Nothobranchius furzeri: one gene and its partners. The protein of the gene in region 3 interacts with the protein of the main gene of each other region in a pairwise test. Links are inferred from orthologs where the notes say so. Each region holds a gene or a part of one and is shown on either strand. Other genes may lie near its edges. The genes, in order: mad1l1, cdkn1a, tex11, snx7, zinc finger protein 414, necab2 and hyi.

What was found.
Region 1: the proteins of tex11 (region 3) and mad1l1 interact in a two-hybrid assay, tested with the Homo sapiens proteins (2 studies listed by BioGRID and IntAct). The two-hybrid records come from large-scale screens. The link is inferred for Nothobranchius furzeri from reciprocal best matches to the Homo sapiens genes TEX11 and MAD1L1.
Region 2: the proteins of tex11 (region 3) and cdkn1a interact in binary tests that used the Homo sapiens proteins (3 or more experiments, as listed by UniProt). The link is inferred for Nothobranchius furzeri from reciprocal best matches to the Homo sapiens genes TEX11 and CDKN1A.
Region 4: the proteins of tex11 (region 3) and snx7 interact in binary tests that used the Homo sapiens proteins (3 or more experiments, as listed by UniProt). The two-hybrid records come from large-scale screens. The link is inferred for Nothobranchius furzeri from reciprocal best matches to the Homo sapiens genes TEX11 and SNX7.
Region 5: the proteins of tex11 (region 3) and zinc finger protein 414 interact in binary tests that used the Homo sapiens proteins (3 or more experiments, as listed by UniProt). The two-hybrid records come from large-scale screens. The link is inferred for Nothobranchius furzeri from reciprocal best matches to the Homo sapiens genes TEX11 and ZNF414.
Region 6: the proteins of tex11 (region 3) and necab2 interact in binary tests that used the Homo sapiens proteins (3 or more experiments, as listed by UniProt). The two-hybrid records come from large-scale screens. The link is inferred for Nothobranchius furzeri from reciprocal best matches to the Homo sapiens genes TEX11 and NECAB2.
Region 7: the proteins of tex11 (region 3) and hyi interact in binary tests that used the Homo sapiens proteins (3 or more experiments, as listed by UniProt). The two-hybrid records come from large-scale screens. The link is inferred for Nothobranchius furzeri from reciprocal best matches to the Homo sapiens genes TEX11 and HYI.

The regions. Positions count from the first base shown.
Region 1 is NC_091744.1:8,655,211-8,659,802, forward strand, and holds the start of mad1l1 (mitotic spindle assembly checkpoint protein MAD1), read right to left. Parts: upstream 2,917-4,592; 5' UTR 2,782-2,916; intron 2,091-2,781; 5' UTR 2,044-2,090; coding exon 1,900-2,043; intron 1,812-1,899; coding exon 1,671-1,811; intron 1,527-1,670; coding exon 1,347-1,526; intron 1-1,346. UniProt on the Homo sapiens protein: Component of the spindle-assembly checkpoint that prevents the onset of anaphase until all chromosomes are properly aligned at the metaphase plate.
Region 2 is NC_091743.1:46,701,181-46,704,630, forward strand, and holds cdkn1a (cyclin-dependent kinase inhibitor 1), read right to left. Parts: upstream 1,896-3,450; 5' UTR 1,765-1,895; coding exon 1,762-1,764; intron 1,628-1,761; coding exon 1,177-1,627; intron 1,095-1,176; coding exon 1,039-1,094; 3' UTR 728-1,038; downstream 1-727. UniProt on the Homo sapiens protein: Plays an important role in controlling cell cycle progression and DNA damage-induced G2 arrest. Involved in p53/TP53 mediated inhibition of cellular proliferation in response to DNA damage.
Region 3 is NC_091741.1:84,252,028-84,255,964, forward strand, and holds the end of tex11 (testis-expressed protein 11), read right to left. Parts: intron 3,268-3,937; coding exon 3,154-3,267; intron 2,940-3,153; coding exon 2,864-2,939; intron 2,780-2,863; coding exon 2,630-2,779; intron 2,540-2,629; coding exon 2,431-2,539; intron 2,335-2,430; coding exon 2,214-2,334; intron 1,590-2,213; coding exon 1,422-1,589; intron 676-1,421; coding exon 607-675; 3' UTR 565-606; downstream 1-564. UniProt on the Homo sapiens protein: Regulator of crossing-over during meiosis. Involved in initiation and/or maintenance of chromosome synapsis and formation of crossovers.
Region 4 is NC_091747.1:35,677,876-35,682,612, reverse strand, and holds the start of snx7 (sorting nexin-7), read right to left. Parts: upstream 2,943-4,737; 5' UTR 2,756-2,942; coding exon 2,672-2,755; intron 1-2,671. UniProt on the Homo sapiens protein: Involved in the regulation of endocytosis and in several stages of intracellular trafficking. Together with SNX4, involved in autophagosome assembly by regulating trafficking and recycling of phospholipid scramblase ATG9A.
Region 5 is NC_091749.1:7,742,755-7,747,141, forward strand, and holds zinc finger protein 414, read right to left. Parts: upstream 2,981-4,387; 5' UTR 2,758-2,980; coding exon 2,706-2,757; intron 2,477-2,705; coding exon 2,366-2,476; intron 2,150-2,365; coding exon 2,044-2,149; intron 1,977-2,043; coding exon 1,543-1,976; intron 1,241-1,542; coding exon 1,083-1,240; 3' UTR 851-1,082; downstream 1-850. Other genes in the region: mtch2 (mitochondrial carrier homolog 2), read left to right, coding at 56-142. UniProt on the Homo sapiens protein: May be involved in transcriptional regulation.
Region 6 is NC_091744.1:83,491,556-83,495,993, reverse strand, and holds the start of necab2 (N-terminal EF-hand calcium-binding protein 2), read left to right. Parts: upstream 1-1,432; 5' UTR 1,433-1,550; coding exon 1,551-1,877; intron 1,878-4,438. UniProt on the Homo sapiens protein: May act as a signaling scaffold protein that senses intracellular calcium.
Region 7 is NC_091756.1:55,263,474-55,266,727, forward strand, and holds the end of hyi (putative hydroxypyruvate isomerase), read right to left. Parts: coding exon 3,237-3,254; intron 3,171-3,236; coding exon 3,101-3,170; intron 1,224-3,100; coding exon 1,089-1,223; intron 1,011-1,088; coding exon 952-1,010; 3' UTR 645-951; downstream 1-644. UniProt on the Homo sapiens protein: Catalyzes the reversible isomerization between hydroxypyruvate and 2-hydroxy-3-oxopropanoate (also termed tartronate semialdehyde).

The DNA of each region.
Region 1 (4,592 bases), on a different chromosome or scaffold from region 3:
GTACGGAAGTCTTGCTCCATGGTCTCCCCGAATTCCTCCCATGCCCGGGCTTTTGCCTCGGCAACCACCCGAGCCACGTTCCGCTTGGACTGCCGGTACCCGTCAGCTGCCTCTGGAGTCCCACAGGCCAAAAAGACCTGATAGGACTCTTTCTTCAGCTTGACAGCATCCCTAACCGCCGGTGTCCACCAGCGAGTTTGGGGGTTGCCATCACGAAAGTCACCGACGATCCTGCGACCACAGCTCCGGTCGGCCGCCTCAACAATGGAGGCACGGAACAGGGTCCATTCAAACTCAATGTCCCCCACCTCCCCCGGAACATTTTGGAAGTTCTGTGGGAGGTGGGAATTGTAGCTCCTTCTGACAGAAGACTCTGCCAGATGTTCCCAGCAGACCCTTGCGATACGTTTGGGCCTGCCTGGTCGGACCGGCATCCTCCCCCACCATCTGAGCCAACTCACCACCAGGTAGTGGTCAGTTGACAGCTCTGACCCTCTCTTCACCTGAGTGTCCAAGACATGCAGCCGCAGGTCAGATGAAACGACAACAAAGTCGATCATCGAGCTGCGGCCTAAGGTATCCTGGTGCCAAGAGCACATATGGACACCTTTATGTCTGAACATGGTGTTCATTATGGACAATCCATGATGATGATGATGATGATGATTTGATTCCGTTACAACTGGTACATAAGTCCAATAACAAAAACCACTCAAATTCAGATCGGGGGGCCGTTCCTCCCAACCACACCTCTCCAGGTCTCAGTCGTTGCCCACATGAGCGTTAAAGTCCCCCAGCAGAACGAGGGAGTCACCGGAAGGAGCGCTTTCCAGCACCCCCTCCAAGGTCTCCAAAAAGGGTATGTAGTCTGAACTGTAGTTTGGTGCATAAGCACAGACCACAGTCAGAACCCTCACCCCACACGTAGGCGGAGGGAGGCTACCCTCTCATTCACTGGGGTAAACTCCAACGTACAGGCACCAAGATGGGGGGCAACTAGTATGCCCACCCCTGCTCGGCGCCTCTCAGTGGGAGCAACTCCAGAGTGGTAGAAAGTCCAGCCCCTCTCAAGGAAACTGGTTCCAGAGCCAGAGCCATGCATTGAGGTGAGTCAGACTATATCTAGTCAGAACCTCTCAACCTCACACACCAACTCATGCTCCTTCCCCACCAGAGAGGTGACATTCCATGTGCCAAGAGCCAGCTTCTGTAGCCGAGGATCAGACCGCCAAGGTCCCCGCCCTCGACTACCACCCATCACACATTGCACCCGACCCTTTTGGCCCCTCCCATGAGTGGTGAGCCCAAAAAAAAAAGCCAGAAACACAAAATAAGTCTGTGCGTACCTGGTTGGCTGCATTTAGCAGAGTGTCTCGTTCCTCCAGTTTCTTGTTCAGACCTTCCACTTTCTTACACAGAGAACTGTTTTCCTCCAACTGCTCTGACAAGTTCTTTTTGGCTTCGGTCTCCCTTTCCTCCAATTTTCTAATGCGCCCCAAAAGTTCTTGATTCCGGTCCACTTCATGCTGGAAAAAAGAAAGAAAGACGTAAACAAGGTGGATAAAAGAACACTGAAGAAAACTCTGTGTGTAGTACATCTAATAAAAACACATCAACCAATCATTTTATACTGTGATAAATCAATGTGCTGCTATATTTGAGTTGTGTACCCCCAAATCTCGTGCACTTTCAGAGACCGCCTTCTCCAGCTCAAAACGAGCTCTTTTGTGACTCAGTTCCATCTGTTTCTTTTCCTGGTCCAGCTGTAGATAGCGATGCTGAGTGTGAACCCGCTCTGCTGCTTCCAAAAGCTAAAACAAAGACAAAAGAATTAACCTGCCTTATAGCTAAATATTGATTTTACTAGAATTGACGATAAAGCAAAGGATTTCTGTTTACCTCCATTTGGCGTTTGTACTGATTTTGCAGGTTTCCACTTTCCGCTGATCGCTCCGACTGCAGCTGAGAACGTTCAGGGCGACTTATGAAGGTATTGAAAGACCTCAAAGTTGTTAACACAGTAGTGTCATCTTCAAAATCCATTGTATAGACCACTGGTGTTACTGACTGCACACAATTTAAAAAAAACTCTGGAAATGAAAAAGATTGAAACATCAGAACTTCCTCAATGACAAACACGGACAAGAGCATAATTTCACATAAGTACCATATTTAAAAAATGCTGTAAACCTAAAACTAGCTAGAAATTTTTGCATTAGTATTAATACACAGCTATTATTAGTCAAATACACCAACTAATTTTAAAATGTATTTCTTATCTCTCCAATAAAAACGTCAATTTTGCATATAACAAGGTTAGTTGTAGCAATTTTCAATAAAAGTAGAGAAAAACTAAAACTCCGTCCTTTAATAAGCAGTCACAACACTGTCTTTACCATCTATGTGTGTGCTCTATTGCTTAGCATGTCTTTGTAAAATTACAAACAGAATAAAGTGCATATCAACTTTATAACGTGGATTTGTAGCATAATCATTCATTAGCTTCCTTGATTAGCTCAATAATGGAAGCAGAACAAGTAGCAAACAAGTAGATAGAATGTCTAACATGTAGGCTATTTGATTCGTTTTCAAGTTCGGTTTTTCTGCTTTTTAAAGATTTCCAAGACGGTGAGGTTTTGACTGTTGTTTTTAGCCATGGACTAGCTACACAAGCTAAACATTAGAACTAACGGCGTTTATGCAGCTTCTCAAAACACGTCACAAAGTTATTAATGTTAAAGTTTTCATCAATGTACAACTTTTGGCAACATAACACCGTACCACATAAACGTCTGTAAACAGGTGGAGGTCTGTCGCAGATAAGTTATCCCCACTGCTAACGAGTTAGCACTTTAGCTGCTCGTTGGAAAGCCCTCCAGTTTTACTCGAATGGGATGCACGTAACATCGCGAGACTATCATTCTCTATCTTTTTCTTTTTTCCTGTTAATTTTCTGTGGCTTCAATTCAAATGTATCATTCGTGTTTTGTAGCAATGTTCAGAAAAACTAAAATAAAAATACAAGAATACAGCAAGTCAATAGAAGTAATAGTTTTTTTTTTTCATTTTAATTATTAAATGAATTACATGACTAAAGCTGTTGGGCTTTTCTGTGACCAAAAGGACATTTCAGTAGGCTAACTCAAGGATGTGTGTATATTCTATTGCATAGATTTTTCTAGCCTGGCCTACCTGACTCGTCCTCTGTTTAATTCTGCACAGAAAACGAGTAGAATTAAACAGAGGAGTCTTGCTGGCCAGGCTAACATTTTTCTGCATAAAGACAAAATCCCTAATTTGTGTAAACTTGGAAACAAACCTAAATCTGATTTTATTTAAATTTTATTTACCACAGAAATTCCAATATATTTAAGAATACTATTGACCTGCACATTTGTGTATGCTTTTGAAACCTAAAATCAGGGCTTACAAGATCCGGGAACTATCTTATTTTGAAAGGACTGTTCTGGCCACTGTCTGCTAGGATCCGGCGACTCACGCAACAAACTGGAAGCCCTCAACACACACCCAGGGGGAGCCCGAAACGATCCTGGTTCTACTTACAGTGGGGCAAAAAAGTATGTAGTCAGCCACCGATTGTGCAAGTTCTCCCACTAAAATGATGGCAGAGGTCAGTAATTTACATCATAGGTACACTTCAACAGTGAGAGACACTGATTTACAAATAAATTCTTTAAAAATCCTGCCATGTGAATTCATGGATTTTTTTTCACATTCTGTCTCTCACAGTTGAAGTGCACCTATGATGTAAACTACTGACCTCTGTCATCATTTTAAGTGGGAGAACTTATCGGTGGCTGACTAAATACTTTTTTGCCCCACTGTATATTACATTGTCTATGTGGATTCTCCAGGGATATTTAATTTAAGTAAGAGCTGAGAGGCGCAAAGCTCTGATCATTGGTGCGCTCCAGACAGACGTGTCCTGAGCACGGCCACAGTAACATTCTCAAAGTGTCGCCACCTCAAAAACAAATTTAACACGCAATTGTTTATGCCTGCTCATATCCTTTCATGCTTTCTGTCTTTTATTTGTGCCTGATGCGTTTTATTGCTGCGGTGCAGAGCGCATCACCTGTTTAGTCCTCCAGTGAATTCACCTCACAGGTGCGGTCAGCGCTCACTCCGCTATTTTCGCGGTCGGTAGATCGTTTTGAACTGTAGTTCAAAGGTAACTCATGAAGTGAAAAATATGAAAACAGGTAACAGTTTTTCTTTAGGATTGAGGGGGGATGCAGGAAGATAATAAACAGACAGGACAGAAAATAGTCACATAAAAAACAAGTTTGTTTTCGTATCGGGTGGTTGCTACAAACAGACACCAATGAAGGTAATCAGAAGTGAGGAACAGAAAATGAAATAATTATTTCAATGTTTAGATCAGCAGGAACTCTGAGAGGCTGCAGGTGCATCAGTGAGTTTGCGGCCGCTGCACAAAATCTAAAAAAGAACTGAAAACCTACAGGACACATAATGTAATAATAAAATACATAATGGGTTCATATATGAGTGTTTAATGTCGCTGAGCAGCTTTAGAGTCAAATATTTATGCCACAGTTCAAGAATGTCAG
Region 2 (3,450 bases), on a different chromosome or scaffold from region 3:
AGATGGAAAAAGTTGGCACTTCTGCTGATTATAGTCTAAGCAATGCAACCACATGTTTAAGGATATATCACAACTCCATAAGCCGTTTTCCGATGACTACGTAAAGCAGAGGTCCCCAATCCTGGTCCTGGAGGGCCGGTATCCTGCATGTTTTAGTTTGAATTCTGTTTCAACACACCTGATTTCAATCAGCAGCTCATTAACAGGCTTCTGCAGAGCCTGATGAGCTGCTGCACAGGCGTTTCAACCACTGAATCAAGTCTGTTGGAGCAGAAAAACCACAAAACCTGCTGGATACCAGCCCTCCAGGGCCAGGATTGGGAACCCCCGATGTAAAATATAATGCACTTAAAAAAAAAACTCCTATAAAAAGACGTAGAAAAACAATTATAGATTTGAACAAAATAGACAAAGCTCTCCTGTTTTTAGCTTTCCTGCGGCTTTGCCACAGAAACGTATTAATCTGAGTCCTGATATTTGTTCGCACGTCTGCTTTTCATCCTCAAACAGGCAGAAGTCCCACCAAACTGAGATGTGATTGTGTTTTAACCCTCTGGAGGCAGGCATCGCAGATCTGCAACAGTTAAAACCTACCTACCTGGTTACTCCACACAAGTATCTCATGAGCATTTTTTAACTCAGAAGCACCCCTGAAGGACTTAGTTGTTCGTCCTTTTATCAAAACGAGACCGAGAGGGTTAAGAGCTGTGTGACGCGCCGTAACAAATGTCAGTCAGCAATTTGGCGAGCTCTCAGTCCAAATGAGTATAAATCCACTGATTCCAGAGATTACTGTTAATCTTCTCTGCTCAAATGTCACCTTCTTAACTGCAGCGTGGACAGAAAACACCAGACCCCTCACACATGCAGCATCTTAATTAGCCTGGTGCCTTCTGGGTTTTTTTTTTCTTTTTTTTGTTTTTTTTTTGTTGGATGATTCAGCACTCCCGCTGCTCGGTGTGGAACAACTGATTCCTGAAGGAGGTGCTGGTTCTTTGTCTGGTTCTCTTGGGAGTTTTGGCACCTTCAAAGGAAATATCACTCCCCGGATTTCCTCGGCAGCCAGACAACTCTTCTTTTAGCCTGATAGAAATCTGTTGGGTTAAAGAAGAGGATACTTAGCTTATGAGAAAAGATGAGTGTTTCTAATTTGATATAAAAAATATCTAAACATACCTGTAATGTTTGTCTGTTTCCTCTTCATTCCTGATTTGTCTTCCGTCTCTGATGTTGTCTCCATGTTCTCCAGACTCAGAGAACATTTCTCTAGAGTTTGGGGGAAGTTCTCTTTCTCCCTCTCTGGTACCACCACCCTTCCTCTTTTGGTTGCACCTGCTGACCTTTGACCCTCTGCATGTCCTGCACAGATGACGCTGGATCTGTAGGGCAGTGGCACCCTGGTACCTGGGACAATCTCCCACTGGAAATCACCGCTCTCCAGAGGTTTGTCGGAGAAGAAGTCGAACCCCCAGCGTTGGGAAGCCTCCTCCAGATCTTTACGCAGGGCAGTCCGGTACTCCATCTGGAGCTGTTCTCGGTCCACTGGGCCAAACAGGCTCCGCCGAGGGGGACCGTTCCTTCTTAGAGTACTGAGGGCTCGCTTGTGAAGTGTAGCCATCCCTCTGCACTGTAGGTAAAAACAGGAAAACTGATTAGTTTCAAAAGCCACAATCTATTTTGTCCACAGTCTAAAAAGTACACAAACTAAATGTTTTTAATATTTTCAAACCAGTGATTTAAACAAAGTTTAGTCAGACTCACCATGGTTCTAGCCTAACAGCTCCTCAGTGAACTAGACTGCTTCTGTGAGCTGACGGGCTTTTATAATGCAGTGCAGCAGCAGCAGTGAGTCACTAGCCCTCCTCTCTGGTACATGTCTGGGCATAATCTCTCACAGGCATGTAAGGGCAAGTCCTCTGCTGTTGTGGTGTTTGGTGTAAGAGAGATAAACCACAAGGTGGCACTGTCACTCCGACTACAGACAGCTCGGAGGCAAACACCAGAGAAATAATTCATCTTCAGTTTACGTTGAAACTGAGGGAAACATGTGACTGTTTTCTGACTCTGACCTGGGAAACAGGTCATTCAGACCATCCAAGAAGGAAGGAAGCATTCAAGGAAAACAGTCCCTGCCCGTCCAGTTACGGTGCAGCAGATGAGATTGGGAGATGAATAAAATACGTTATCAGTGATTAAGAGGACACGAGCTTATTTTACAGAAGCTGTTCCAGTTATCTGCAAACGGAATCTGGAAAAATCTGCTTCAATTTGACGTGAAGATGCGTTTCAGTAAAATACTGATTAGTGTTATAAATAAAAATGTGTCAATGAAACAAGTCATCTGTTATAATCTGATATGATTCTGATTTTTATTTTCATACAAACACAAGCACAAACCCTTTTTTCTGATTCATAAAATATGAGAGTGAAATATGTCTCTATTTTAGCTTGATCTGGCTCCTATCATGGAGTTCAGTTTGGTTTGTTCATGAGAAAAAGAAGGGCCCTTTGCATTTTGATCAAAATTATCTACGTAGTAAAGTCAGTTGACTACAGTCTGTATCAGAGTTTACTAAAAAATGGGTTTGTTGGACACATCTAATGACCACTAAGACTATGTATGCAGTGTTCAACGCTCCCACCCACAGCACAGGGCTCAGAATAAAGCTCCCCAATTGTGGGTGGATCATTAGGTTAATAAAAGGGTTTGAAGGATCCCTGCTGGATCCCTGCGCTGCCCTGGTCCCACAGAGGAAGGGGGAGGGCGTTTCTTTTACTGGGCAGGGTGGTTCTGGGAGGAGTGACTCAAGCTTTGGCGGGAGAGCTAGTCATGCATGACTGAGTTGGACCCAGCCCAGTTCAGCTACAACTCTGCTCCACGTGAGTCTGGAACTCGTGTCAAACTGGGATGTCACAGTTTGGACTCACCCACTCTCTCTCTCTCTCTCTCTCTCTCTCACACACACACACACACACACACACACACACACACACACAGACATGTAAAAAAAACTAAAACCACCAAACAAGAGTTTATGGATTTCCTGGATGTGCAAAAATGAGATCGCAAAGATCCATTTATGTCAACTTTTCACACCTCTAGGAACACATTAGTCCTGTAAAAACGTTTTTGTTCTTCAAATGTTTAGAATACAATTATTAATGAGCTACAAAAGTGTATATATATATGTGTGTGTGTGTGTGTGTTGAGTTTTAAAGGTTGTGAAATCATAAATCTTACTCAGATGCTTAGAAGCTCTTTTAAATTTAACAACTACTAACTTCTTACATATAAAATAACATCTTTAATGTGTTTTACTTACATGTTGAGCCAAATCAGGTGCAGTTCGCTTCTAAATCTCCTCTCTTTTAAAGCTGTTGTCTACTGAGTCAGCTTTTCCACCTCCTCGCTGCTTGTCTCCAAGTTTCAGTGTGATGTAAGGCAAAGTT
Region 3 (3,937 bases):
ATGGAACCTGAATGCCTCTGTGTGTAACTGATGAGGGTCGTTCTGATGAGAGAAATAATGACATGCTTTTATTTTATGGGTGGGGTAGGTTTCAGGGTTCTTGTTTGTACTTTTGGGTGATGATGTTTCTGTTCTAGCACACATGTGCAGTAAGTGCTTGCAAACATGAACCCTTTGATTGTACAGTAGTTTCCTTCCTGTCACTGCAGGTGGTACAGCCTATCAGGACACTCGGCCTCATGGTCTTCCCTGTCCTAGTCATGAGGGAATGCAGTCCTGCAACTTTTTGTTTGGGGTTTATTTTGGGACTTGACAAGAGTTTATTTGTTTGAAAATAAAATATGTGACTCAGTTATGATTTGGATGTGCTTGTTATTCCGGTTTGAGCAGCTTTGGCTCGGGCTTGAAAGTCAAATCATTGCAAACTACAATTTTAAGAGTTTGTATTTTTTTTAATCAGGAAAGCATTACGATGGGTTTGCAGTAAAACATTTTGACATTAACAAAGAACAGGAAAAGGTGCCGTTAACAAACTTGATTAACTCGGCTGAAGTTTAGACTCGGAACACAGTTGATCATCCAGATGGGAACCATTGACCTGGCCTTTTAGTTTTCCATGGTGTTCTTTTTTGCTTTGTCCAGTTGGTCCAGGATTTTACTGTAGAGATCCGACATCTGCACACAAACATCTGCATTAGATAAAACCTCTATGTCGCACAAGAAACATCTGTTCCTTTTGAAAAGAGGAAAATACATTTGTCTTAAAGGATACGGTTAACAGATTTCATCTTAATGCTAAAGCAGTGTTCTGGTTGGCAACACTGACTTTCACGCTGAATGTGGAATGGATGCAGTCTGTTTAGGTCAATGATCGTTGTGTCCAATCAGAGCATTTACACCAGCTGCAGTGCAGAGCTCTAGAGACTCTCTGTATGGACACTGCATGCAGATTGTCAAAGTTAAGAAATGACCTTAGCCAGTAAGGGAGAGCGATGTACATTCGGTATATTTCCAAATTAATCTCATGTTGCATTATTTTATCCGGCTTTAGTTTTATTATTGACCGAGACATAATATTTCACCTTATTTTTACAGGTATATTTACCAAATTTCTAATCATTTGGTGCTCATGTGGGTTAGGGTTAGGGCTCGCTAACTGCACCTGTGGGTGCAGGAACAAAGCCTGCTTGGTGCAACTACAGGAGAGGTCACCTTAAGAGCTCCTGCCAGTTTCCTGTTTTGGTGAGGCCTTTTAGAGGCTGCTTTTAATTTTAAAAATGCCCCTAAACCTCAGAAATATAATCAGTCTCTTATATCTTGCCATTTCATGAGTCGAGCCGTAACATAAATGGGGGCTCATCCGGAATATGTCAAACCGTTGGAGACTAAACGAGCCGGGTCATAACAACCATAATGTTTACCTGTGCCTCGTAGCTCTCCCGCAGAAATCCCAAATGATGGACAAAGCTCATAGCCAGACCACACCACTTCTCAGCCTCCATGTACTGGTTCAAACTGTACAGCATTATGCCAGTGTTCCAGGCCTGAGTCAGGAGCCACAGGGTCTCCATCTCTGGGAAGACATCCGGCTGCATAGGAGGCAGGAAGATGTTCAAAAGGCCATTTAACGGGGCCACCTGGGTGACTCAATTCACAAAGTTGTCTTTAGAACGACGGAACAGCAAGAAGGCAAGTAAACTTTCATCAAATCCTGTGCTGGTTGTGTTAACCTTTTACTATCACTGGAACAGGAAAGAAAAATGTGAATTGACTCATTTTTATTTTTATTTTCTCCATTCAGATTCCCCAACACTTAAAGCTTGTCCCTTTACTTTGATCCAAAGAATTAAACAGCTTTCAAGTGAGAACTCCCTCTGAAAGAGGAAATACGTGCTGCCTCAAAAGGAGCATGATGTCTGAATAATTCCACATCTCAGAGCTGCAGCTCACCGGCAGTGTGATGATTTGTACGGCATATTAACATTGAAACTGGCAGGAAGGGGCGGTGAATGGAAGCCTCTGCTAATTGAACTGCAGCTGAAAGCCCATTGATTTAAAAATAAATAAATAAAGGAGAAGGAGAGAGATTTCTAGAAGAGAAGGCAGCCATGGTGTGAAAGAGAGGGCTTAATTACATAGCACGACACATTTCTGTTGGAGAAAATGGGAGGTGGGAGCCGAGGGATGTCTGTGTGTGATTGGTGCCGACTCACTGCAGCTGATATGATGGACAGGGCCTCCTCGAAGTAGTCCCACACCTCAGCCAGCGCACGGGCCTCCACCTCTGCCACCCCACTCGGGAGGGACAGCTTGATCAGGTCATGAATGCACTTGCTATGACAGAGACAAGCCGCACAATCAGAAACAACCTCCACCCCAGTAACTTAGAGGAAATGATGAGGGTGGTGTATGTTTGTGGTGTAGTGGTGCCTGCAGTGGGCCAGATCAGGCTGGGACTGCTTCTTGTGCAGAGAGAGAGCAATTCTCAGAGCCTTCTTACACAGTCGAGGGAAGTAGGCAGGAGCTTCCATGGCCAAGGCTTTGTTTAGGGGGCGATATGAGAGCATGCGGTAAATACTACCAAGAACTACAAATATGTCTGATAAGGACAGATGATGCATGTTCTTACCCGCCATGGTCTCTAACACTTTGGCTTCAACGTTTTCAAGCTCCAGTACGGACTCAAGTATCACCTCAACTTTTGTGTCATTCAGCTTGGCGCGAGTTTCAAATTCATACAGCAGCAGGAGTGACTCTGTGGGGTCTGATGGAAAGCTTTCTATAAAAACATGAGGACAAATGTTTAGTTTTTCATGAAAGGTTTATTTCTTCCAACTTCAGCCGCGTTCGATTTTAATTTCACCTGATGCTTTTAGGGTTTTCCAAACCTCCCAGCAGGTCTGAATGTACTCCAGAGCCTGAGTGAGCTCCTCCTCCACCTGTGAGCCAAACAAGAGGAGTGAGGATTCTGGATTCTCTGTCGCCATCTAGTGTTAAGTTCCTTATCAAAGGCAGAGAGGGATTAAACTGAAACGCCTACGCCTGCACCAGTAATGTGGTTAGTCACCTCTCCTCTCTGCTGGTCTTGGTAAATTTCCATCCTTTCTAATGGAGAGCGTGCTAAATGTATAGGATGGTGAGTGGGTGGCACACCTGGGCGGAGTAAGGAGAATTCCTGCAGAGCTCCAAAGAGGCGGCAGCGGCCATCAGCAGACAAGTCTTCTGGCCCATGAGCAGAACGCGGTCAGTAGGGCACAGCAGAGAGAGCTGAGAGGTCAAAGAGCAAAAACAAACAAATACATCTTGAATGCAACTTTAGTTAAACAAGATGGCATTTCCTGTATTTTACATCAGAATGGTGTTGGCTCTAAAACATTGCATAACTCATGGAATGCCAATGTGTTTGGGACTATTTTTATAGCCTGTGGTAATAATAACCATAATCCATTCTTTAATGGGTATTTTATTCATCAGTCTTCCAGTGAACATGTTTATTCCCACACTTGTAAAACCAAAAAACAAAAAGGTTCATGTCAGACCATCTGCAGATGTTTGTTGTTTATATTTTACTTAACACTCCCACTGTCCTAATGGGTGTGACCCGGTGAGGAAAGCTGACCATTGAGCAGGACTGATGGTTTATCCCTTGGGTCCATGTGGCAGGGGTGAGGAGTGAGCACCACCTCACCCCTGCCACATGGACCCAAGGGATAAACCATCAGTCCTGCTCAATGGTCAGCTTTCCTCAACGGGTCACACCCATTAGGACAGTGGGAGGGTTAAAGTAAACCGGCTAAACCAACATCACATACAAAACCCACGATACAAATCTACTTGGATTTGATCTAACAAACTTCTGGTTAGAAAGTCAAGGGTGAGCAGTAAACATAATCATTATTCCCAAAGCAGCCTTTCATCCCGTTCAGGTGTCCTAATC
Region 4 (4,737 bases), on a different chromosome or scaffold from region 3:
ATGAAACCCTTTACAATTAAAACCAGAATTTCCATCTTTGGTTTGATAGAACAACTTCTCAGTAAGTTTTCTCTGAGTGAAACCTACCAGAACCACAAGAACACGTGTTTGGACCTTAGACAACTGGTTTGGACTTGGAAAACTACTATCTGACTGGAACAAAGAGGCTAGCATTAGCCTCAGTTAACAGTTTCACATGAAAACCCATCAGCAGAAGAGACGTGGACGTGGGTTTATTAAAGACTTTAGCAGAAGGAAATGTGTGTGTATGCGCACGCGCACACACACACACACACACACACACACACACACACACACACACACACACACACACACACACACACACACACACACACACTCAGAACTTCCTGAACTGGACATTAAAGCAAACGGACTCATCAAAAACCCTGTAGATGTGTTGTTGTCATATTCAAATTATAATGCTTATGCAAACATCAGAGCTGAAAACCTGCTGAGTTCACAGATATTCGACACTCGTCCTCTTCATCGTGAGGCTGTAAACACAGCTATGTCTGCAGCGTTAGCACAGAATCACCGTGACCGGAGCCAAACTTGACCAAAACCAGACACCTTTACACCAAGTGTTTTGGTCAGGGCTGAAGCAACAGGAATGTTTACCTACCAGAGCAGCCAGGGGCAGCAGATTAAGCTGGAGTTCAGGTTTCAACACCCAGCTTCTGCAGCTAAAGGTCTGACTGCAACACAAGTCCAAACCCAGCTCCTCTGTTCCACTGAGCAAGAGGAAAGAATTCCACCATCATTAGCTGCAGCTGCCTTCTGACACACCAGCGAAGACTGAACATGAGGCGAAAAACCTTAAACAGTTCAGTTTACTCTGAAGACTCTTTATCAGCTAAATAAGAACAGAGTGTGTGGATCAGACCAACAAGCTGTAAAGTAAACAGATCCTCAAACCCAGGTCCTCCAGGGCCAACATCCAGCATGTTCTGGAGGTGTCTGTGGTCCACCACAGCTGTTCGACAGCACCTCAGCTACAGAAACCATCTAGCTAGCCTGCTAGATGGTGCCTGATCTCCTTTCTCCTCTCGCTCTCACGCCCTTGTTCACATTAATGCACACAGTTGATAGAGCTGCAATCAGACCTGTAGCTTCTGTTGTAAAAATGTGTTTTGTTCTCATATTATGTGATTATAATGCTAGCCTGGTAAGCCATCTGATTTTAGCGACTGCAACGAGTCTTCTACATTTATACGCTGGTTTAAAACACGATATCCAATAAAATATCTATGTCGTGTTAGTGCCACCTACTGGTGGTGCTGAGTAAAGTGCTCTGGGGTTCGCATGCCTTGTTTGAGCAGATGACTGAGACACAGAGGCTGCTGGAGACCGAAAGCTGGAAAACCATCTAAGGACAAAATAAAGTGTGAATAACAAGAAAAACGGAACATGTTGCCTGCGGTTGCTCTGAAAGGCTCACATTTAGGCTTGTGTACTTATTAGAGTATTATTATTTTTCTACTTTATTTTTAAATTTCAAAATTGACTATCTTCTGTAAAACTTGGAGAAGGTACTGAATGATTGTTTTGGAATAATGGTCATTTTTCAACTGTTCATATTTAAGTATTTTTTTCCACCAGCTGCCATTGGGCTACTCCTTTAAATGGGAAATTGTGGCTTCCCTTTTTACCAATAGGACGAGGCAGAAACGCTAGTCCATTTCTGTTTATGCTAATGTTTCGGTATGCTGGTGTGTTTTCATATTGTTCTATACTTGAGTTGTCTCTGCGGATGAGCATTTGATTGATTCCATCTTTGTTCTGTCAGGATTGTGTTTTATAGCAATCCTGTAAACACACACACACACACACACACACACACACACACACAAGATAAAAGAAAGGAAACCCCGTGTGTGTGTAAAGTTAAAGGCTGTTTAAATCTGGACTTTAATCCAGAAAACCACCTGACATTTTGATTTGATCAATCTGCGTTAACAGATCACCGCTGAGGATAAAAGCAGAGGAAAACATTAAACATCACCTGCCTAAGTACTCTACAGCAGGTTAGATGTGAACACAAACCTCCTGCAAATGTTTTATTCACTGCATCTGTAAATTCTCACAACCAGTTCTTCAATTATTTGCGCTTTTAGTCAGAAATGCTGCCATAACCTCTGTAATCAGTTTAAAATGTGAGGAATGGAGCTGTAACCATCCATCAGCTGTAGGACACACCGGTCCCGGTTCGGTTCTGAAGGCCTCAACACCATCTCCCATTCATCTCCGCCCCTCGTTATAAATGTAGATTCACTCACTTTAAAAAGCAAGCCAACATCTTCGGACAGAACTGACGAAATCAGCTCACCAGGGTGAGCCGAACTGACGACAGAACCACTTGTTTTAGTATAAATAAAGAATCTGATTAAAGTTTTTAGGTCCTGCCAACTGATCCCCCAATCACTCCGAATCTGAACGGAGTTTGGCGGAAAGCTGAATACTCTGGAGTCAGCACGGACAAGACTTTTATTTTGAAGAGTCGCCTGATTCTAGACGTTCTGAGGGAATGCTAAGTTTCTGTTTTTTAAGTCGTTATGTGTTAAGTTAAAAGTTACAGAGAGATGAGGCTAAAGAGCAACCAGAGCAAACCAGACTGAGGGAGTTTATTCGGTTTAAAGGAGCTCCGCTTTACCTTACTGTAAACCTCCAGGTCTTCGTCCTCGTCCAAGTCCAACATGTGGTCTGAGATGTCCGCAGGGACCGTGTGTCCACTCATAACACTGTCCAACTTTTACAAATCAGCTGTCTACTCCGAGTCAAACTTCCTGCACAAGTTTTGTGAGACAAACACAAGAGGTTTGGTGGAACAGCACTTCCTGCAGGGTCTTTCAAAATAAAAACATCTGGTCTGCCTAAGGAGTTTCCTCAGATCTCAAACTGCTAAACGCTCACGAACACTGATCTGAAATATAGTATTATATTATAATGTATTTGAAACAAGAAACTCGCTGATAGCTGAATATGACATATCTGATGTTTGGAATTAGTTCTTTTTCACTAGGTGCTCATTTTCATTAGACCACTCATCATCATCATCATCATCATCATCATCATCATCATCATCATCATCATCATCACCACTGATGGGGGGGGGGGGGGGCACACTTGCCTGATGACAAGTGGTAGACCATTCCACACTCTAGGGCAACTAGGTTGAAACCGGGTCCAACTAACAAACACTGATCAGCCAATCACAAAGGCAGCATGGGAAGATGATGGCACCGAAGCCCCTGTAGATGAAGAGATCACCTACTGACAAAGTATGGAAAACAAACAAGAGAACCTTGAAATCTATCCTAAAACAAACATGAAGACAAGGAAGGTCAGTCAAGATGGTGTGACCTGTTTAGTTCCAGTCCAAAATTTCACTGCCAAGTGAAGCACCTGTTGCTTATCTGCAGGTGTCACACACAGTAGTCCTGGTGTGATGTTATGAAGTATGGACTCCATCTGATTACCTTTAGCAAGGTGATGGGAGGTGAAAAAAAAACATGACACATATTGAGCCTGTCAGACAGGTAGTGTTTTCTTTAACATTTAGGTCAACTTGGTCATTTTAATTGAATAAAGTTAGGTCGCAAACCAGTTATTCCTGGGGCCAATGAACAGGGATTTTATATTTTCTGACAATTAGTTTTGGGCTTTTTTCAGGGATTTAGTAAAGAAGAGAAAACACGAGCAGCCATTTCTGTTCTCATGTGACTTATTACAGGGAAAATAACATGAAATCTCTAATGCAGATTTGACTGGTTGCTAGAAACTAGTCAGTAATAAAACAAATTTCAGTGATTCGCCAACCCAGTATCCGAAATTATTTATGCTTTTATTTGGAAAATAAATATACCAGACTTCCGGTTACACACCATTTTTGCTTTAGATTCAGGACCGAACGGAAATGCGGAAGAGACCGATTCAACCGTCTGAGACGCACTGGCGCAAGAATCTGGCCTCAGTCTGGGACAGAGGTAAAACTGTCAGGGAGGTTTGAAATAAAAGTAAATGCAATCCCAGATGCCAGATGTTCCAATGTTAACATGATGTGTGTGGAAAGGCCTCGTATTTAAAAGCACGGATGTCGGAGGTCCAGAGTAAAACCTTAAATTTACCAGAAAAATAAGATCTTTAACTGATAGATAAATGTTTGTTTCCAAAAGTAGTGCTGCATTCAGGGACAATCAATGGGGCCATGGCTTCAAAGGAAGAATCTGAACATGAACGTGTGCAAAGATAACACGAACAACACACAATGAGGAATTATTAAGTTAATAAAGTGGGTGGCTTATTTCAAAAGTAAGAAATGTTCTTTAAAAGTTGTGTTTTATTAGAAATGTGAGTGAGTTAAACTTCACAAAAGAGTTTAACAGTGGGTCGTGTTTATCTGACAGGGACTCGTAATGTGTCTAGTTTTCAGTCCGCATCACACATTTAAAGGGTTATTCCTGGAGCCTTACCTTCAGTCCTTGGAGTGATGTGAGCAGATCTCCTTTATAATTCCATAATGGTTAAGTGCTATCCTCCAGTAGGTGATTCTATACATTTAAGTAATGCATGTTGTTACAGGATTTGTCAAACTGGTATGTGATTGGAAGCTCTGTGTGAGTAGAGCGGGCATGATTTGTGCATGAGATGAACATCAGGATGGGCATGGAAAAACGGCATTCGCTGAGGGCGGGGGAGAGTGTGAGTAGATGATAATGA
Region 5 (4,387 bases), on a different chromosome or scaffold from region 3:
ACTGTGTGTGTGTTGGTCTGATCCACAAGGACCAACGTGTTCTCTCTCATTCCAGGGTGACCTGAGCCGAGGCAACAGTGTGTTTTTTCGGAAGCTTCCTGCAGGAAAGACTTACACATCTGAGCAGAAGAGGTTCTGTTAAAGCTGCAGAACCGAAGCTGCGGAGAACCCGGGGCGGACAGCGTCGACTCAACTGTTTATCAGTGTGCTGTCGTCTGAAACCACGACAGGGTGACCGCCCCTAATGTTTGCTAGATAAGGTGGTGACACGTTGCATGTGGTAGTGTGTAGTAACGGGTGGAGGAGCGGAGTAAATGCCGGGATGAGACTGCTCCCTCTGACGGAGCCAGCTGTGCTCCTCTTGTTCACGACTGTGTAAAACACGGGTTGGTAACTAATTCTCCTTTCCTAGAAGTCACAAACCTTACTGGTCTTCTACTGGGCCGCTGCAGACCAGTCCTTTGTAATGGAAATCTTTTCAGTTAATAACACATTTTGCATTTACAACACGTACAAGAGAAAAAGGTTGTATTTTTTGTGATGAATCTGAATAAATCTGGACCAGTAAAGGTTTCAACAACAAGCTTTTATTCTGTGGGCTCCTTTAGGTTCTCACACCTGCCGATGGGTCTCAGGGTTGGGGCAGCTTTACAGGGACAGGCCACCCATATTAACCTGGCTGTACGCCGTTAGCTTTAGCTTAGTATAAACACCGTTAAACTAGATATGCCAAAGCAGTAAGGTTCAATCTAAAATGGCGCCTGTGATGATTTTCACCTGCAGTCCGTCTGATTTAGGTCACCAAGCAGAACTGGGATCACTACGGAGGGATTTGAAGGGCTCACGATGCTAGTTGGATCATTTAATTACGGTGCTTTATGCTAAGCTAAAGGAGAGCAGAATGACCGGGCTGCTCTCTCCCACTTATCTAGCTCTGGGAAATAAGTACAGACAAGATTTCAGTTTCGGGTGGAGAAACTCTTTTAGCAGTCGGTCCCTAATATCCAAGAGTCCCAACAGGATGTTTATCAAGTTTACTTTCTCAGAAAAGCTGACGGTAAACCAGGGCCCGGACCGCGGCGTCAGCTGTTTCCTGGGTCCCGTGCCACCTTGGTGCCGCTGTGGTGACTGTTGATGTGCTGGGTCATTTCCTTACGGTTAGTCACCGTGTGTCCACATTGCACGCAGGTGTAGCGCCCCCTAGTGTGTTCCCAGAGGACACGTCTGTTGCAGGACGTCCCTAAAGAAAAGCGACAGTTGCAGCGGTTATTCAGACAGGCCGGTGAGAGGTAACTGCTGTCAGCGACAACTCTGACCAGTAGATGTAGTACATTAGTGTCGTGTTCTGAGGTTTTAATGGCCTTCTTCAACCTCATCTAAAGAGCCAAAGGGACAGGCTGAAGAGGACCAGGGTCATCTAGCGCAGTCTCCTGGTTAATGAAGATATTGTGGGAATACTGGAGCTTACCAGGAGAACATGGATGCCCCACAGAGCAGGCTGAGGGGAGGGAGCCGGTTTCAGAAAACTAGAAAAAGTCTCACCTTGGTTCTTCTTCCAGACAGCGGAGGAGCCAGGAGGAGAGTGAAGAGCAGGTGGGAAAGGCCCCGTGGTCCTGCTCTGGGCTTCAGGAGTATCAGAGTCATGAGAGGGGGTGGGACAGGGGCCCGAAGGGAGGGGGACAGGCTCCTGGAGAGGCAGGATGGGGGGGCCTAGCACAGGGGGGTCAGCGGAGTCCAGCAGAGGAGCAGCAGAGAGGGACTCCTGTGGGTCGGAGACCTGCTGGGTTGAACAAACTGACTCTAAGTGGGGGGGCTGCTGCTCTGCAGCATTAGTGGTCAGATTTGGACCAGCAGCAGCAGACAGAGGGGGGGTTGGTTCAGTAGCCTTTGATTTGCTTCGGGGCACTTTGGAACAGGTGTGCAGGTGTGCCAGGAGGCCACGGTAGGACCGCAGCTTTGTGCGACAGCTCTCACACCTGAAGGAGCAGAAGCTTCATGGAGTTAACCAGAACAAAAACAGCAACGCTGAGCAGCAGCACTCACTGGAAGTAGATGTTGGGCTTATGGTGATGCCTCATGTGTTCCATCAGCTTCTGCATGTTGGGGAAGGACCTGCCACAGCCAGCGGAGGAGCACAGCAGCACCTTACCTGTGGACAGCAGACACCTTGTTCACCTGATGACATCACCTCACCTCCTGTCACACACGAACCACCTGGGTCAGACTGCCAGCTGCCCCGACCACGGGGGCTTTAATAACTCACGGTCAACCTAATCAGACATCATCTAAGGATGATCCAGGCTCTCTCTCTGACTTATCCCGCTCTGAGATGATATTTTATGGACCAAGCAGGATATGGACTCACCTGGGAGGGACTGTGCCGCGATCTCGTGGTCCTTGATGTGATTCTGCAGGACGCTCATCTCTGTGTAAGCCCGCTTACACCCGTGGAGCGGACAGGCCACCCTCTTCGGGGCTAAAACAGGGAAGTGATGTTTAAACAAACGACACATGTTCAACGTAAACGGAAAAGCTGGCTATTTAATTGAAGAAATCCAGTTTCAGATATGTATCAATCATTTCGAACCTCCTCTTCTATGCTAGCTGCTATGCTAACTGCAATGTAAGTTGGTTAGCAATCGTTAGCTTTGTTACGAACTGGAATAACAAAACCAACTACGAGGACGTCAACGCAAAACACAAACCTCCGTTCTCATCTTCAGGTGCTGGCAAGGCGGGGAACACCGGAGACATCATAACTGTAGGTTGAGCTCAACCACAGCAGCGGAAGCTGTGTGGTGTGTTTCCGGTAGTGATGGAACAAACGAAGCGAGGCTTCGAGCAGGAAGGGGGCGTGTCGCTTGCTTCATTTTGGAGTAAGTTTTTTTTTTTGCACAAAATTTAATCTACAACAATTATGGCAATCTCTACAATGAATCAGTTTTACCAACATGAGATAGTATCAGAACAGACTGAATTCCAACGTATAGAAGAAGGATAATGAACAGGAAGTACAAACAACAACAAATAAATAAATAAAATAAAAACAAACCCCAAACAGAATCAAAGTAAACAAATGAGCAAAAAGACAAAAAGCTTCATTTTGGAGTAAGGTCTAGCTGCAGCCGCAGCCACTACAAACCACGCCCCTGTGGCCCCTACAAAATACGCCTGCGTGTTCGAAGACGAACTCGCATGCGTGTTGCTACACCAGGTGGAAATGACGGTTCAGGTAAAGACAGATTTATATTTTTACAACATGCAACGATTTTTTACGTTAAATTTGAACGTTTAAGACATAGTTTGATAGATAGCGCCTTAGTGATTTTTTTTCTGAAACACTTTTCTATAAAGTTAAGCATTATTGGCAGTGGGGGAAGACGTCATGGACGCAAAATATTTTTTATATAATTTTTAATGGGCTACATGCAAGCCTTTTGGCCAAAATAAATGTAACAATAGGGCTATTTATTTGACCATTTATGACTCCTCATCTAATAAGCAGCAAACTCACCATGGCAATGTGGTAGGCCAAAAATTGTCGCGCTCAGACGTGTAAAATTTGTTAAAATATGTAACAGAGAATTCCCTTAAAATCCATTCAGATATATTTTTATATGTCAACATTTATTATAGTTATTTTGACAAGTAGTTGCATGTATAGCATCCAGTAAATATTAGTCTGACGGTAATGTGTCCACGATAAAAAATGGTCTTGGAAGTGTGGTGTATTGTACTGTAATGTACATGCTGTTATGACGGTGATCACTAGGGGGCACTAGTGTCACATGTGTTGCTGTTGGGGTTGAAGAGTTGAGGCTGAAAGTAAAAGTTCGCTGGACCTAAACAGCTGTGTCTCAGTGTTTAATTACCTAGTAGAAACCCTACAGAAGACCTAAGGAGACCAGTAACACAACATGGTGTCAGAAGTTTGGCTGCCAAGAGAACAGAGACGACGGTTTGAGTAAGCTAGATGAATAAGCATCGGGGCTAACGTCTGCTACCAAGAAGATAAAATGGAGCAGTTTTGGCCGCCGTCTTCACTCAGTCTCGTCGGCAATCTGTCTGAGGCATGGCGCAGGTGGGAACAGAGGTTCCAGCTCTACATGATAGCCACTGGCGCATCAGAAAAGGAGGAAGAGGTAAAAATAGCCTCTTCACACTATCGGCGAGGAGGCCTTAGAAGTGTACAACACACTCAACATTACCCCAGCCGGAGATGCACTCACAGTGGAGGAGGTCCTGAAAGCATTTAAAACATACTGTAGCCCGCAGAGGAATGTGGTTTTTGAACGTCATCAATTCTGGTCATACCCAATGTCACCAGGAATTGTGGTGGACAGGTACATTACTGAACTGCATCAAAAAAGCAAGGACTGTGAGTTTG
Region 6 (4,438 bases), on a different chromosome or scaffold from region 3:
TTAGCCAAGTGGGCTGCTTGCCCAGCTTGGGCTGACACTACACAGTTGGTGATCTGTAGAACATACATGGTAACCCGAAGCTAACAGAGTTTTTCCAGGCATTTTTAGAAAAAAAAAACCCAGTAGAGCGATGACGTAGGAGTTGTTTTACAGCGTTAGCATGTAGCTAATGTCCCGCTGATCTCCGCCTGTGGAGAATGAGCTGATCCGGAAGGCCAGGGCTCCCGGTCGCGGCGGACTGGCCCTGCTTGTAATTTAACAGTCCCAGTCCATATTAGAGCTCACATTCGGCTTAGAGACGAGTCCGCAGGCAGCCACACCCCTAACCCCCACCGCTCTCCCAATGGGGAGGGCCGGCAATTCGTAAGAATGCCAGGGCCGAATTTTGGTCCCAGTCCACCCCTGCTCATTACTCCACTTCCAACAACCAGCGCAATTTACGTTCCAGTAGCTTCATCTCTAAAGTTATTCCCAAAGCTCGCACCTCCTCTGGCCGCTCCTCATTCCAGTTTGCTGCTTCCAACGACTGGAATGCGCTGCAAAAAAATCACTGAAGTTCACACGATCCATTATCTACCTTCAATAATTCATGGGGATCAATAGTTTCTGATCAATGTGCTTCTGAGTACTTAAAGACAGTTTTAAATCTGTTTCGACTGATTTTACACATTATATATGAGAACAATCCTAACTGTTTTATCAGAATTTTATCTCACCTGTTTTGTCTGTGGTGTAAAGCTAACTGCTGCTGCTTCCTCTTGGCCAGATCGTCGTTGTAAAGGAGAATGAGTTTTCAATCCACTCATCCATTTAAATAAAGGTTAAAATTTAAAAAATGTAGGTGATTAATGTGGTTTAATTCATTTGTTCAGTAGCAAGAAAACTCCTCTTGCCACTGCACGCTCAGTTCCACATGGGGGCAATCATGTCAAGTGACTGGGTTTTAGTTTCCTGCTGTCATGGGGCCGCTGAGATATATAGATCTATTTGTCTTTTTACTCACTTCACAGCCTTTCAGTTATTTTGTCAACTTCCCAGCATGTCTTAATTTGTCCAAACCAGCTGCTTGGTGCTGTTGGACATGTGGCGGACTGAAGAAAAGTCTCTCCAGCAGCCGGAAAGGGCTGGGCTGGGGAGCCTCTCATTACTAAAGGTTAGATCTGTCACATCACACATGCACATAAAGCTCTAATGAGCAGCTGGAGTGACAGTTCAGGGGACTCCTTTTGCTAAAGCCCTCTGATCCTCCCTTTGGGATGCAGCACTTCCTGCGGTCTAAAGGAAGAGCATCTTTGTTCAGATTACACACTAAACCTTAAAGGGGGAAGAAACAGCTTTTGTGTTGCTTTTTCCCAGAGGAGCGATGCACGTCCAAAGGCTTCATCCTTAGATGCACCAAACAGAAGTGTTTAAGTCATAATTCAGATGCTACTGGGTACAGGATGGATGCGGGTGCTTCTGGGGTGGATGCTGTGATGTAAGAGGAGGTGGGGGTGGGAGCGCCTCTCTCTCCCCCATAGAGCGCAGCATGAGCGCTCCGCAGCAAAAGGATGTGTGAGCAGGCAGCGCGCTACTGTAGGGACGGAGTCCACAAACTGCTGAACAAAGAACAAGCCAAACTTCGAGCCCAGGAGAGCCGAGAGCAGCCGAACCCCGTAGCCGGTCAGGACAGCGAGTCCGCGACGGCAGCGCAGTCCGGAAACAGCGGCGCCCAGCCCGGTGGAATCGACGGGCTCGTCCGCTGGATCGTCACCAAAATGAGCGACAACAAGAACGTCTCCAGCCGGGAGTACGCCTCCAGCAAGGAGGAGGTGGCCGTGGCCCAGGAGCAGTTCTTCGCCCCCGAGCCGCGGAGAGGCATCTCGGTGATTCTGGATGTGAGTATGAGGCACCGGGAGGCGGCCAGCCCCGCCAGGAGCGGGTGGGTGCATGGAGACATCCAGGGAGCGGTGCGCACTTACGCACAGACAGTTTAGGTGTCCGGGATCAAACCGGCGTCCCTCTCCTCTGCATCTGCACCATATCAGAAAATTCAAACTTTGCACGTTTTAACTGTCAGTCCACATAAATCCTGAGGCTCTCCAACTGCGCTGCAGACATGTTCCTGTGTTAACCTTCAGAGTGATAACTGCGTGCCTGTAGCATTTCTGGTGTTCAGGTCAGCCCAGTTTTATTTTACTGTGCTTTAAAACGAGTTGATCTCAGTAGAAAAAAAGAAAAGAAACGTAGAAACACGTTGTGTAGACCTCCCCCCCCCCCCCCCAACTTGTTATAAATTAAGATTTTTCAAACGTTTTTTTTTCTTTTTTCCTCTCTATCATACCATACCACTTTATTTGTAGAACGCTCTTAACACGGCACTACAACCGACCAAAGCGCTGGACATAAAGACAAATAAATAAAAAACAAGCTAAAATAGTCGTGCATATCATAAGAAGTAAAAAGGATAAGAGTTAAAGAACAACAAACTAAAGCCAATAAAACAAGTAAAACCAGAATATAAAAACACAAATTTTAACTACCTGGCAGCTAAAACTGTTTCCAGCTGAGTCTCTGACACCAGCCTTTGAACTTTTTCTGACATTTTCTTCTTTCTGCATAACTTTGACCTTTCAAACGTGAATTTTCTGGCCCCTTTCCAGCATATCTGACCCCAATATTCTTACTTTACACCAAATGGGCTTCCTGGTGTGTCCCTGAATGCAGCATTTCCCTCATTAGACCGACTTGTTCTCCTTCTCTGAGTCTACCGTGAACCCATTTATTATTCCGTCTCCTCTCTTCCAACAGAAGCATATTCCTAAGGTGAAGGCATGCCTCCTCTTTGTGTCTTTCTCTTTAGTCGTGTTTTTTTTGTCTCTTTCTGTTGTAACTCTTCACCATCACCTCCTCCTCCTCCTCAGTGAGACTCTTTCCCTCCTTCCCAAGCTTCCCTGACTCCAGCAGCTCCAGCTCTGTTCTGAGAAGCTGAACATGGCCCAGGGTGCAGATGCAGAGCAGCTTTTCAATTGGAGTGCGGCTCTTTCAGCTCCTGTTGCCCTTTATTTAAGAGTTTAGTCACAAAAATGTCTTGATGAGTTTCTGTGCAATAATTTAGCTGACTAAACTAAAAAAAAAAGTTTTTGGGTCGTCACGATCTGTTTGCCCATTAACTTCTGACTTTGGTCACTACTGTTAACATTCATCTTATTCAGAAGATCATGTCTTTGAAAAGCACATTTTTTTTTAGATTTCCTGTAATCTGACTAATCCAACCAGACCAAATTCAAAATATGTGACTAAAGATCACATCCTCTCGTTTTATTCTACAAATATCTTCTTTAATATTGTTTTAAAATGCATCTCATGATCACTCAGCACGTCTTGTCCTGCCGGTGGCTCGTGTGTCACTCATCCTCAACCTCCATGATGAAAGTATTCTAAAACGTTGAAGGTCCTCGGAGGGGGGAGCTTTCCCTAAAATGATTCAGATTCACTCCCAGCTTGTTCAGCTGCAGCTGTGGTTGGTTCGGTTTGGTGTGGTAAGCTAACTCCGGTCCAGCTGTGTGGGATTCAGTCTGATCCGTTACCAGTTATTCACCAGCTGGTTTCTGTTTTCCCAGCATGACTCTTCTGTCAGCTGGAAGGAGGTTTATGACACAAACATTCACTATTTTATAGGTTTCCCTCCTTAAACTCCTGAAAACGGGAATCTATGGGTTCCATAGAGGTTTTTATTTTTAATTTTCTGCTTAAATTATTTCTTGGAGGCAAGAATAATAAGTAGTTTCCACTGGTGAGAAACAACATTATTTTAGTGACCCAAACAAGAAAGAAGAAACCCCAAAAGTAAGCCCTGAGGGACACCTTGAAAAACAATTACACTAAAGCTAATTTAAATTATTAATAAATGTTTAAAGAAATTACAGATTTGTGAAATAATCCAGTGTTTAGGTGTTAACATTTATTAGATGAGGCTGTTTTCAGACACACAATGCTTCAATTTAACTCTTTAGGCTTGAAATATGAAAAACTAACGATTGAAAATACTGAGTTTAAAACTAAATAAAACAATAAGATATGGTGTTACTTTAAGAAATACAACAAGATTAAGAAATAGTGCTTGATGTGTCTCAGGTTAGGACTTCATACCTGGTGGGTTACTGGTTCAAACTGGTTTGATCAAGTACTTTTGTGAATAAAAATTCATATTTCTGTACTAAGTTGTTGCAGAAAATCTATAGGAACTCACACAAACTGGATAATCAGATGCTGAGAGGTTTTTGGAACGTTGTTGAAAGGTTCGCTCCGTTCTTTAGTCCGGAAACATTCTTGTTTAGCAGATGATACGCTACTGTACTTACAAAAGAGAACTCTCAAAATAATTGGTTTTATTAACCATCTTGGTTTATTTGCACATTTTATTTAGTATTTAGAACCTAAATGTAAATGTGAAATA
Region 7 (3,254 bases), on a different chromosome or scaffold from region 3:
AAGCCTCTCCAGCCGTTTCAGATTTGAAAACTTCCTTCTGCAGGTGTTTTCGCTCCTTCCACAGATGTTCAGCAGGTTCTAGTTCAGGGTTAATACACATTAGAATAGTTTAATGTTTGGTTCTGATCCACTTTTGGGTGTTTTTAGCTGTAGGTTTAGCCTCATCTTGTTGGAAGAGTCATGACCTGTGACTTTATTGGACCTTAAACAGATTTAAGACATCCTGGTCCAGATGCAGCATAGCAGGTCCAGAACATAGTCTCCACATTAGGTCCAGTGTTCTTACAGCTTAGGTGATTTAACAAAAGCTCCAGTTTTGTCTCGTCGGTTCAAAAGGTGTTCTCCCAGGAGCTCGAGCATTTAGGTGAACTCCAGCCTTGGCTCATTTTCTACCACCTGATCAACTGGGGGAACAGTTCCTCTTGGGTACATGAGGTCTAGGTGGGCTTTGGTCTCAGGAACCTTCTACTTAATGTTATTAGCAGCTGTGGTTAAAGGAACAAGAAGCTGCTCAGGGGTGGCTTTGCTGTCGAAGTGAAACAGGTCATTTTTAAAGCCTCTATCAACCTTCATTTTGTTCCACCCCTAATAAGTCATGCAGACCTCTTCAGTAAACAAATGTAATCATGTACATTACATCGAAGTCTCGTTAACATTTAAATGTTTAATATTTGTGCATATTAAGGCATCAGTTCTACACGTGATTATAGAACTAAAGATTAAATTATTCAGTTTAATATCTTCAACAAGACTTGGTCTGAGTTTTGATGATGTTTTCAGATGGTCCTTCAGAACATACAGCAATGAACCCCTGCCCCACCAGGAGGACTTGGTTGTCTCCAAAGGAATGCTGAGCTGGGCCGAGTGGTTCTAATGTTGTGGCTGATCATCTTTATAGGGTCATTGCAGTTAAAACAGAAATAACTCCAGATAGGTGTCTTCTGTCTGAGCTCATTGTGCTCCGTGTGTCCAGTATTGCTGGATCCAACCCAGACCCTTGGTGGTGGACTCTGCAGTAGACAGATGAGACAATAAGCCGACATGTTTTAAATTAGTGGATCAACTATTAGAGGTGAGGGAAGACTGACCAAAGGGTTTGTATTCACAGCCGATGTAACCCCGGTAGCCGAGGTGTTCCAGCGTACGAAACAGGTAGCTGTAGTTCAGCTCTCCGTCAGAGTCGGGTTCGTTCCGGCCAGGAACCTGGGCGACCTGAACATGACCTGAGAACCAGAACCATTCAGAAGAAGCCTTGTCTTATTTGTGCATGCTTAGCTCAGCTGGACAAATGTTGTCCTACATGAACATACAAGCCAGTGGACTTTGTGTTTAACACCAATAAATGAGGTATGACTCATTGTGGAACTCCAGTCAGAACCAGCGTAACTTAGTTGGAGCCATCTAAATGTTCTGCCCAATAACCACCTGGTTCTTTCTCCAGCCGGAGCAGCTAACACACTGGTTTACAGGGCAGATTTTGAAACCATGTTTGAATCTATGAAGGCAGATCAGAGGCCTGAGGATGCCAGAAACCCTAAACATTTGTATGCGAGGAACACTGAGAACAGATATAAGCTATTAGGTGCATATTTAAAAGAAAATGCATATAAAATGTAAAATTTGTCTACAATGAAACCAATGTGTTTTTTTATAATTGACAAAGCAGGATTTTTCTGCCACCTGGATGACAAGAACTACTTTTCCACCAACCTTCATCTGGGCTATGTTATAGACCAGAGCATAAGATATATTGGTCAAAACCAAGATCTAAAATTCAAAGCCAGTTTTAGATCCTCTGCCACCCATCAGCAGGAATACTAAAGAGGAGATGACTCGGCTTTCGTCGATGCCTCTGAAGATAAGACCAGACATGAGATCTCATCTGTCATTTTTGTTTATGCATTTAGCAGACGCTTTTGTCCAAAGCGACTTACAAGTGATAATCGGCATGTTGCCCTTGAGGCTAACAACAACAATAACAACAACAACTTGACATCAGTCATGGAGAGGAGGGAACAAGGAATGGACAGTAGAGAGGGGAGGTACGGGTGCAGAGAGGGTGCTAGGTAAGAAGATGCTCTCTGAAGAGCAGGGTCTTCAGGAGTTTCTTGAAAATTGAAAAGGAAGCCCCTGTTCTGGTAGTGCTTGGAAGGTCATTCCACATTTGTGGAACGATGCATGAGAAGAGTCTGGATCGTCCTGAGCGTGGTGTAGGCACTGCTAGCCGACGATCCTGTGATGACTGCAGCAGCTGGGACGAGACGTAAGCCTTTGCAAAAGGATTCAGGTAGATGGGAGCCGTACCGTCTCGGACTTTGTATGCTAGTGTTAAAAATTTGAATTTGATGCGTGCTGCTAGCGGTAGCCAGTGGAGCTCAATGAACAGAGGGGTGACGTGTGCTCTTTTTGGCTGATTAAAGACCAGACGCGCCGCTGCTTTCTGGACCATTTGAAGAGGTCTCACAGTACAGCCTGGAAGACCAGTTAGAAGGGCATTGCAGTAATCGAGGCAGGAGATGACAGTAGATTGCACCAGGAGCTGGGCGGCATGTTGTGTTAGGTATGGTCTGATCTTTCCTATGTTATACAGTGCAAAGCGGCATGAACGAGCAACAGACATGATCTTTAAAGGGGTGACAAGTAGTTCAGTTTTAGAGAGGTTGAGTTGGAGATGGTGGGATTTCATCCATTTTTATATGTCAGAGAGACTAGTTGGAAACAGGTGTTCATGCAGCAGCTGATTGCAATGGTTGAGACCTAGAGCACCTGATGAGGGGAGAAACAGCTCAATCACAGCCCCTGATTGCACTTATTGTTTTCAGCTGGCCCAAACTGGAGCTACAAGACAACAGGATTACACACAGATGAGTTTCCTTCTCTTTCCAAATGGAAGACAGTGCAAAGCAAAAGTTTAAGAAGACAAAAACAAGCACTAACAGACACTCAAGGCCCTTCGGTGCAGATTCAAGTCTGTTTGAAAGTGCTTGCAGTTGCTTTTTAAGCTTTGCTTCAGGTGAGAGGACGGCCCACCTAGATCACCTGATCAGTGTTTTCAGGGAGGGGAGAAACGGCTCGTTCACAGCCCCTCAAATGGACTCACCTATCAGGGGGAAATACTTGTGCATGTTCTGTGTGAGGTTTCCATCCATTATTTGCCAGTGAAAGACATCCTGAAAGAGGTGGGATGTTTAACAAACGTTTTCTCTCAAACTGAAACACATTTCCAACATACGCACCATTTGTAGCTTGATGTT